Linked DNA regions of Arabidopsis thaliana. The protein of the gene in region 1 interacts with the protein of each later gene in a pairwise test. Each region holds a gene or a part of one and is shown on either strand. Other genes may lie near its edges.

Region 1 (3,944 bases):
CACAACAAGGTTGACATTTACGAGTTCTAGATGGAAGAATTTTTCCATTGTTGAGATCAAATCTTTTTTCATCATCTGCATTGCAACTCCATCCAGGCTCACATCCGGAAACCCATTTAGCTAAATTGCAGTTGATGTTAGGCTTTACATGAACCGTTGTTGCTTCATCTCTTCTAACAAAACTACTAAAGTAGAACTTTATCTCCGCAGCTGAACATAGTCTAAGTGTGAGGTCACCTGCATATCACAAGACCATTAAATCTCAATGTTCAAGTATTTGAATATAAAAACATAACCCTTTTTATGTTGTTTACCATCATTTTTCTTGACACAATTGCTTAAGAAGTCCAGATTTTTATCAAAATTAAATGCTTCATTCCAATCGCCCTTCCTGAATTATCAACAAACGATATGAGAAAAATGTAAAATTCAAACATGGGACTACATTAGCTGATTTTGAAAAGACTTACAAATTCTTGATGCAATAACCTAAATCTCGATCAACGTCAGCCTTTAAAACAGTCTTTAGATTCTGAAGTCGAGTATAGATAAGGTTTGTAACCGAAACAAGAGCTTTTGGGTTCCCTGTTTTGCTGTAATCATCTCCATCCAGAGATAGTGCAAATGACATAAAACTCAAGCCAAAAACAAAGAACAAGAAGATGTGTTGTGTCCAACAAACATCAACCCTAACTCTCATTGTTCTTATATCAAAAGTCTTGCCTTAAAATCAGAACCTTCCGAATCGAAATATCTGAACCCTCTGACCTAACAATAGAATAGATACATTGGAAGCTACCAATAGAAATATCCGTAGAGATGTCTTGTGTTTTTCTATCATGTCTTGAGAAAACCAATGAGTATATTCTTGAAAAATGGAGATGAAGGATTAAAAGAAAGCTAACGAGCTTGTTGTAGATTTTTTTTGTTCTCTTTTAGAAAATCTTGAAATGTTGACGTTGAGATCAAAAGTTGGAAAGTTGAAAAATGAGAGACTTGCGTGAAAGAAGAGAGTTGAGAAGGGTCATCATGGAAGGAGGTCCAGATTTCTAGCAAATGAAAAAAAAAATGGGTGAGAAAAATGATTGGTTTCTTAATTATAACTTATTTCCAAAAATAGAAATAACTATATTGGAGGAGCATGACAAATGATGATTCTTTGGATTTCATGAGAAATTTTTGTTTATTTAAATAGTGTTGCTTAATGATTTCAAGCATTACTAAAAAATCACAAATCAATAGTGAGAAAAACAATATAAACATTATAAACATATGGCATTATTTTTTAATCAATTTGTTTCCAAAACCAAATAATAAGATTATCAAACAATATTATTAGTTGTTTAGTGGCAAAATAACATTACCAAACTAAACAACATGATTTGACTAAATTATCCTTATCTGTTACCTCCTAAACTTTTAAAATCCTAATTTTAACACTCTAAATCAAAAGCCTAATTTTACTAATGGTGACGGCGTCTACGTTCCTCCTCCTCCGCGATCTCAACCTCAGATTCCGCCGTCGTGGTCATCGGCTCTAAAAGCATCGCTGTGAACGGCATATGACTGTAACCATTCACCGGATACTGAATTCCGATTGGCTGACAAAGATCCAACCTACAACTCGGCGATTGTGGCGTTTGCGTTTGCGTTTGCGGCGACGTCATCGACGACGACGACGAGGAATCGTCCGCCGCAACATCAACCCAATTCGAAATGAGCTTAGTCCCGTAGCCAGTGGCGGCAATAATCGACGGTTCAGCTTGACTAAGAAGCCATTCGATGGTTTCTCCTTCAGTTTTGTGACCGAGCTCACGCGTTAACTGGAAAATCCTAGCGGCGGCGAGAGCCGGCATCGTAACTCGACGGCTTCGTCCGTTAACCTTCGTGTGACGGTCTTTAGTCCTGGCGGAGATACATCCGCCGCCGCTCGAGGAGGATTTCGAAACACCGAACTGCGTTTGGGAACGCGATTCGGAAGCTATAGCGTTGAAGTTGGACTCATTTCTGCACACATTCTGAAAAATCATCTCCGAATTCGTCGATTTTGTAAACTAATTTCAGTGACGATGAACAAGGATTCACAGAGAGAATCTTAGGGTTACTAAAGGAGGGAGAAGAAGATGATTCGAATTAACTTTTGGATAATTTGGGCTTTTAAGCCCAATATAAGGCCCAACATGATCCACTCTGTAGGAAAAAAAAAAAGGGAGAGAGAACAAAATCTGACTTCCATGGCAACAAACAAGTTTTAATTTTTACAAAAAAAAAATTGGGAGTGTGTGTGTCGCCTTATCTGTTCGTCATGGCTCTGTAGAGTAGCCTCATGTTCTTATTCTTCTTCTTCCTTAGCCATTCGTGGAAGCAAAAACAGAGTCTTTTATTCTTTGGTGATTCTGTGAAATGGAAGCTACGAGGAACTTGGTTTCTTCATCTCCTTCGTTTCAGACAAAGACTCATCTCAAGAGCAGCTACTCTTCTCCTTCCTCTGGTACTTCTTATTCAGCTACTCTTCATATAGAAATATTGTGTCTTTGCTGGATTTGTCTCTGTTAGTTACTGGAATTTGAAGTTCATGGATTTCAATTTGAAATTAGTGTATGTATACGAGTTTGTGTTAGCATTTTCTGATTTGTTTTTGTTCGTTTGTTGGTATTTCTGTAGTAGTGATGCTTCATGATCAAACAACAACTCCTGTTGTTAACTCACGTCATCTCAATTCTCTATCTCGACATTTTCCTGCGTCGGTTCTCTCACAGGAGCCACGGGAAGAGTCTAGGCCTCTGTCACATGCGTTAAGAGACGATAGAACATCCCAGGTGTGTTTTATTAGCAGCAATATTGTCCTAAGAGATTGAATCAATCATAAAGTTGTCAACTTTCTAGTCCTCTTGTTTAATGCGATTGGGTTCCTTGCATTTTTAGTTGACTCTGGAGAGGAGGCAGTTTGATGAATTGGTTTCATCTCGAGAAGATGAGAAATTTGAACAGCAACTTCTTCACTCTACTGGTTTATGGAATTTGTAATGTCTCTTCCTCTCTTAAACCCACCAGTTTCAGTTTTCATACAACCTTTTGAGTTTTCTGAATGATGTAGCCTTTCTTTTGTTTGCAGATTAATATCTCCTTTAACATCTGAAACGAAATTGCCGGCAGTTGTGTCTCCTTTAGCTGATGCAGAGCTTTGTGATGTGGTTGCACTAGCTCAGAAGGCTTTATCAGCTTCAAAACAAGCTGCATTGTTAGTTGATGACACTGAAGCAAATCCATCTGACAACATCAAGGATTCTCTCTCCACTAGGTTGCTTTTTTTAACCTTGTTTGTGTATCTTATCAATCTGCTACTTGTGGGCTGTAATGTGAAAAGATTTGTATTTCTGGATGTTTGGTTTTAGCTCTTCTATGTCCTTACCGGAAAAGGGAAACATAGTAAGATCGAAGCGGCAGCTAGAGAGACGAGCAAAGAACAGACGGGCTCCAAAATCAAACGATGTGGACGATGAGGGTTATGTTCCTCAGAAAACTAGTGCGAAGAAAAAGTATAAACAAGGGGCTGATAATGATGATGCGCTTCAGCTCTTCTTGTGGGGACCTGAGACAAAACAACTTCTGACTGCTAAAGAAGAAGCTGAGCTGATATCACATATACAGGTTCATGCTTTCCTTATTCATGTGTCCTTGGACTTCCTTCTTGTCCCTGGTGCTAACTTCCATAATCTTTGATCTATCAGCATTTATTAAAGTTGGAGAAGGTAAAGACTAAACTTGAATCTCAAAACGGCTGCGAACCAACAATAGGCGAGTGGGCTGAAGCTATGGGGATAAGTTCCCCTGTCTTAAAATCTGATATCCACCGTGGGAGAAGCAGCCGGGAAAAGTTGATTACAGCAAACCTACGTCTGGTAGTCCATATAGCTAAACAATATCAGAATCGTGGACTCAAC
Region 2 (6,595 bases), on another chromosome or scaffold:
ATGTTCTTCGAATTGTATTAGCTTGGGTGATGATGTTTTTGAGCTGAGATCATGTATCACTGATGCGGTTGATTTGTGACCAAAATGAATAAAATTTGAGTTGCTTTTCGTACATATTAGAGTCTTATATCTGGTTTAGATTATGGGGAAGGTGTTGACAGTGTTAATCATAGACATTTTGCAGATGGTGGGAGCAAACAAATCCACATATGTTGGAGAATGAAGGAAAGAGAACAGAGAGTTCACAAATGTCCTGAAGCCAAAAACCGCAAATCTCTCGACTTTTTTTGAGACATACTGCTTCGCCAGTCATGAGGCCTGCGTCGAATGAATCTGCAGGCATGGAGGATGCCGAAGGGAGGTTCTCTGAAACCGAAGAAGAACGCCATTGTACATACACTCTTGTAAAAGAAGTCTGCGAGTGAGGAAGAACATGTGTGTGATCTGTGTTAAAAAGAGGCACATATGAAGGATGTGAATCGTCGTAACACGTAAGGGATTATGTTACAAAAGAGTCTGTAATAATATGTATAAGCTTTATTTCGACACTTTGATGTTCTGTTCTTGATACTTGGATACTCTGTTCTTGAAGCTAACTACTTTAGACATTGATCTTCCTTTTTATCCCCTCTCTAATTTGATATATGCTCTTGTATTACTCATACTGCCCCAATTGTAACATAGAAGCTTAAAAATGCTACATAACATGCAGCCAACAGAATGAGGATGACCTGAAAACATTGGTCCGAGTTTCGGACAAAGTTTATGACAATGAACATGAACACATATAGAGACATATATATGATTCATTACATAACACATGTTTCTCATCAAACAAAAACAATTCCTCGCGGTCTGAACATACAATCAACCTGGCTTATGATTGCAATGGAGGATTCATATACATGCTCAGGGCTGCACAAACATCGTCTTCCCACAAATTACACTTCCACTCCTGCATATATTCCAAGAAACATTTTCATATATCAACCATATATCTTGATGAAAGTATGAGCCACGACCAAGTTGTTCAAACCCATTATCAAGAAATCGAAGTGTGGAAGTAATGTATAACAACCACTGGAGTTTAATCATCTTCCTTCACACAATAATACATTATGAACTATAAAAACTCATTTAGCCTTACAATTCCTCATTACTAGAAACAAATCCAACCTTTACAAATCAGTGCTATGTTGATACCAAAGTCTATATTATTGTTATTAAAGAAGTTCCTGTAGTTTAGTGCCCATAGTATCAAACCAAAAAGTAAGAAATTTAAGAAATGAATCAATCAACCAAGCTCCACTTAGTTTATGTATCAAAACAACATCAATTCAGATTTCAGGTAAAAGAAAACATATGAATCACTCAAAATGTGATGTGAAAGAGATCTAAAAATGTGAGTGCTCCGAATTAAAGGGAAAGAGCTCATGACAACAATGAAGAGATGGGATAATTAGAGTCCGACACATAGCATGTGGTGCCACTTCAGGAGGACAATGTTTTAAAACAATTTTGCCAGGCAAAAAACACTCAACTTCCCATCTTTTTCTCTTAAATAAAATATTTATCTATTAAGGACAAAACTTTCTTCATAGCAAAGTCTTTTGTCAAATGTTGATTCTTTGATGCCAATTATTAAATATTAACTAACTTCTTTCTTATCCAAAACAGTTCATCACCTCATTACATTTTCCATATTAAAATAAATTGCTATAAAGATTTCCTAAACCAAGAACTTGCAATACTAATATATATATATAACTAATTCAATGGAGTCAAAAGGTTTAGGTGAATTACTGTATCATGTGAATGAATAAATACATCAAAATGGGACACAAATTTAATGAAATGACCTACCCTTAGAGAAAATAAGTAAATGATCACAAATTGGAACAAGGTGATGCTGAGGAAGAAGGAAACCCAACATAGAACACATGAGGAGACAAAAACAGACGATGAAGCCCTCTTTTCAAATTCATCCACATGTCATTGATTATATAATCCTAAAGTCATTATTACTTCGAGACACACAAAAATGTAATGAAATTATGAAACCAACAAAATATGACTCACTGCCACGCCCCAATAAACCATCTTTCTTTTGTGAAATCAAGAAACCAAAATTTATAACAAATCAAACAACATGGTACTATCACTACATTTAACTAATCCATAAACCATTTTTCTAAAAACTGAAGAATTGAGATACTAAAAAGATAGAAAAAGACTAACCAAGATTGGCGAGAGATGAAAGGAAGCATTTTGTTTTTACTATCTCCTTTCCTTTGCCTTGTCATCAGAGCTCCGGTTTCCTTCGCCGTAATAAAGATATAGCCGACCATCAAAAGTCTCCGGAAGCTGGTGGTTATGGTGGTCAAGAGGTGGAGGTGTAGCCATGAAAAAGGAAATGCTTTGACTATCCATTGGAGAAGAGGAAGAAGAAGACGAAGAAATCGATGACCTTTGAGTAATGTTGTTGTTGTTATTCAGAAAGAGAGATTGTGAATTGGACTGAAGGGTCCCCCTACTACTGTAACCACCATTAATGGCAGAAGAAGAAGAAGAGATTCCAAAGTTGTAATCAGGTACAAAGGAGAATGGGTGATTCATTGGCTCTTGAGAGGAAGAGTTTGGTATTTGCAGCTGAACCGGGTTAAAGCAATCAGAACCACCGGTCCAATTCCGGTTACTCGGTTGTTGGTCAAAACCACCAGTGAGAAGCTGAGTGAATGAGCTATGAGCATTCTGCAAATCTTTATCTCTGTCTTTAGCTGTTCTTTCTCTAGCTCTCTCTCTTGCTTTCCCACGAATCTCTGTTCTTGATAACGACAACAGCGAACTCTCAGATGTTCCACTACTACAAGCAGATTTGGTCTGATTCTGATTCTGATCAAGATGATCAAAATTTGTGTTAAGCAAAGGAAGATCAGTGATTGAATCAGAAGCTGCATTGATTAACCATTCAACAGCTTTACTTGGCTGATCAAATCCAAGACGATCTTGAAGATCATAGAACTGGATTGCTGTAGCAACTGAGAGACGTATTCTTCGATCTCTTAAACCTTTTGATGTTAACACTTTGCTATGTCTATCTTTGCCACCAGAAGCTCGTGAAACCCTAATGATACGAGACGATGGATTGTTCCAATTCCTCATTAGTCCAGTGTTGTCCTCTGAGAATCTTTGTAGCTTTCTGCTTTGTTGTTCTTGATGTTTTTGTAACTCAATGTCTTCGTCAACCTCCATTGTAACGCTACTCTCATACTTTATCAGAGCTATGATAATTAAGTAAAAAGCCTGAGTATGTTGCAGTGATAAACTTTTGAATCTGCAAAAATTAAAGTAAGAAGAAATTAAAGTCACTGCTCAAAGGCTAAAAATAATAAAAATTTGTAGATCTGCCAAATCTATTCATGTTCATAGACCTATAGCTTAAGAGCCTTTTTCAGAAACCCTAAATTAATTATATAAAACCTATGAAACCTATAGGAATTTATTAAAGATTATGAGCTTTGGTGAAAATAATAAATACCCAGAAATTAAAGGAGAGATTTTTAAGTGAAGAAGATGAACAAGACTAATGATTTTGTTCTTGCTAGAAGCTTTGCCCTAAATTACATGGCAGTTTGCAAAATAAGAATCTTGATACATTAAATAAAGCAGAGATTTTAAAATATAAATAAAGGGTTTGCCTCAAAAATCACCAACAAGCTAAGAGAAAACTCACTTTGGATTACAGGTGTCAACTGTCTAAGCTCAGTGTAGAACAACAATGGCGGCGATAAGTGAAAAACAAATTTAATTTTCTTCAGATTCTTGTCATGAGCTTCTTATCTCTTCCTTCTCATGCTTAGATCTCGTCATTATAAGCATTAGAGAAGTGTTAAGATCCACAGATCTGCAATAATAGTTATATCAAAATAGTCACACAAATATAAGTTATAACATAAAAAAAACATTCGTTTTTGAGTAGTGTTTTAGGACGTTTAGATAAAGAGTATTTTCCCAGGAAAATCAGCCGAGAAAGTGAAAGAAAATTAGCAGAAAATGGGAAATGGGGAGAGAGGCTAGAGATATGAGTTTTATTACCTGTTAGAGAAAAATATCAAACAGTTGCCTTCGGACAAGGGAAGACAAGTGCACTGTTTGGACTATTTTGTACTTTCCTTGTTCTGTTCTTTTCTCTCTCTTTTACCCTTCTTTCTTTCTCCTTTTTCAATTCTGCCACTAAACTATTAGAATATCAATATTTGCCCTTTTATTTTCTTTTTCGATCAATTTGCCCTCTATTAATCGAATTATACTGAAGTATAATGTATGTTTTAATCATATAAATAAGGTTCATGACACTACATCTGATAAGACAATATAACTAGGAATAAGCATACATCCTTGATGCAAATATAGCCTATATTGTTTTAATTTACATTTTCAAGAAACATCTAACTTACATAATGTTTCATGCTATGGTGAAGAAAAGACACTCTCGAGGTGACAAAGTGGACACATGGGCTTCAAAGGCAGAAGCTTCACTTCTTGCATGCGATAAAATATATGGGGTTCTTGGCCAAATTCAGTAACCTTAATCATACAATGAATATTGGTCATGACACAAATTGTATAACTTCTTTGTTGGGCATATGCGGGAGTCCGATTTAGTCAGTACACTATGAGTTAACCGTGGCAAAAGATGCACGCTTTTACTCGGCCTACGCCAACCATGATATTTTTGTTTGCTTAGATATGGTTGAGGTTTTAGTACAAAACTTAACCGAAATAGGAAAAAAGAAACATCATGAATTAAAACATGTTGCCATCATGGGTAATGACCTATTTGGATTTAATGTAAGATAGGCCAAACATATGACTCTCAAATAAAAGTAAAGTAATTAAGAATATTAATTTTTTCTTTTGTAACAAACAAGCTTTGAGCTTTAGAACCACTTTTTGATTGTATTTTCAAAGCCTAAACAATTTAATTTCTTCCACGTAAAGACTCAAATTTGGGGAAAAATACTCAACCTTCCTTCCAAGGAAATCTTTGAAACTAAGTGAACTATCAATACTTGGTATGTAAAGTAAGAACATGATTCTAGTAAGAGTAATTATTAAATAATTTTTGAAAACTAAATAATGTTTCACAATAAGACCTGGACGATTATCCCTAACCTCGGTAGCTCAGTAAGCAAATTATTGTCAACTTGGGAACTTCTTTACACTTCCGACCAATAACGACTTTCTAATTAAGACTATTTTCTTGATAGGGAAACAATGTCAAAATTCGTTTTTGTATACTGTATAAAGCAAAGTTTAACAAATTTATAGATCTAATGTTATGTATTAGTTGTAGAAAGATAAAAATAGTAACAAAAATATTAAAATAGTACATGTCAAAGAAAATTATATACAAATTTACATGGGTTTTGTAAATTGAGTTCCATCCAGATGCAGTGAGTGAAAATAAAGCAAATATTTGCAAATAGCATACTAGTATGTCGTCACTCGTACGTCAGTCATCACATAATGTTTCAACCCATATATTATTCCAAAATATGAATCATCTTACGTACTTTTTTTTCTCCGACTCATGTTATAGTATATCAAAAAAGTTTAACTCATCTCACACGATATGTCGATACAAACCCACTTTGGGCTAACCAAATACATTCCATTTTTAGGGATATGTTGCGTTCATATATTATACTGTATCACATCACATGTCTTTAAGTAATATTTCAGAATTGTGTAAATAAATATTTGTGTGCTTCCATGAAGAATTGGTTTTTAACGTCGGGCTCGAGACTGGCTCGAGACTGCGACGCACGTGTCACTGTCCAAAGGCATTTATTGATGCACATTCAGAATATTTTGGTTCACATCGAATTTTTCACTTTTATTTTGCCAAAAATATATATTTTACTCCAGTGTCCAATGTATCTCTAATTCTCTTATGTGGTTCGAATGTATAATATATTAAACATAATTGCTTTGTGTTTCCGAACTAAGAATATAACACAAATGGTATTTTATATGGTTTTATTATTAGATAATTTCTAATGCAAAAATAGGAAAAAAACCAATTGGAATCACTCAAGTTTTCAAGAACAATACTTGTTATATGCACTTACACTTGTACTTGTCAGTTTCATGCTCAACAGCTAAAGAGTCAAGTACTACGAAACGAAGGGTCCTTAACCATTGACAATAATTAGACCAGATTATGTGTTTCTTATAAAAGTGTTTTTCTGTGTTCATATTATTCATAAGTAAATGGTCTTATCAAAATGATTTTGGTGAAATTTCAATTGTATATGGTAAGATCTAGTTCCTAGGATCTTGCTCCAATAAGTAGATTCATAACAACACTTTTTTACTGGTTCTTAAAATAGATCACTTTGTCACTATTAAGTTTCAATACCAAGTTACAAGTCTCATGTGCTTTCTCATTGATTATGCTTCCTTTAAGAGTTTCTCTCATGCACTCTGGTTTTGTTTCTCAACAAGTTTTGATTTTTTCTTCCAAAACTTAAACTCCATCGATCTTCGTTCAAGCATCTTCTCAATCTCCTCCATTGGCATTCCTTTTGTC

The links. Proteins that work in one complex are often made in the same cells at the same time.
Region 2: the proteins of AT2G37000 (region 1) and TCP24 interact in a two-hybrid assay, tested with the Arabidopsis thaliana proteins (one large-scale study listed by BioGRID).

What each region holds. Positions count from the first base shown.
Region 1 is NC_003071.7:15,538,476-15,542,419, reverse strand, and holds AT2G37000 (TCP family transcription factor), read right to left. Parts: upstream 2,175-3,944; 5' UTR 2,031-2,174; coding exon 1,464-2,030; 3' UTR 1,172-1,463; downstream 1-1,171. Other genes in the region: NAP12 (non-intrinsic ABC protein 12), read right to left, coding at 1-237, 315-391, 471-700; SIGF (RNApolymerase sigma-subunit F), read left to right, coding at 2,404-2,491, 2,665-2,819, 2,926-3,023, 3,116-3,301, 3,396-3,651, 3,732-3,944.
Region 2 is NC_003070.9:10,626,477-10,633,071, forward strand, and holds TCP24 (TEOSINTE BRANCHED 1, cycloidea, and PCF family 24), read right to left. Parts: upstream 4,155-6,595; 5' UTR 4,096-4,154; intron 4,091-4,095; exon of another isoform or gene 3,905-4,090; 5' UTR 3,734-3,904; intron 3,335-3,733; 5' UTR 3,253-3,334; coding exon 2,278-3,252; 3' UTR 2,239-2,277; intron 956-2,238; 3' UTR 709-955; downstream 1-708. Other genes in the region: INT2 (inositol transporter 2), read right to left, coding at 6,481-6,595. UniProt on the Arabidopsis thaliana protein: Plays a pivotal role in the control of morphogenesis of shoot organs by negatively regulating the expression of boundary-specific genes such as CUC genes, probably through the induction of miRNA (e.g. miR164).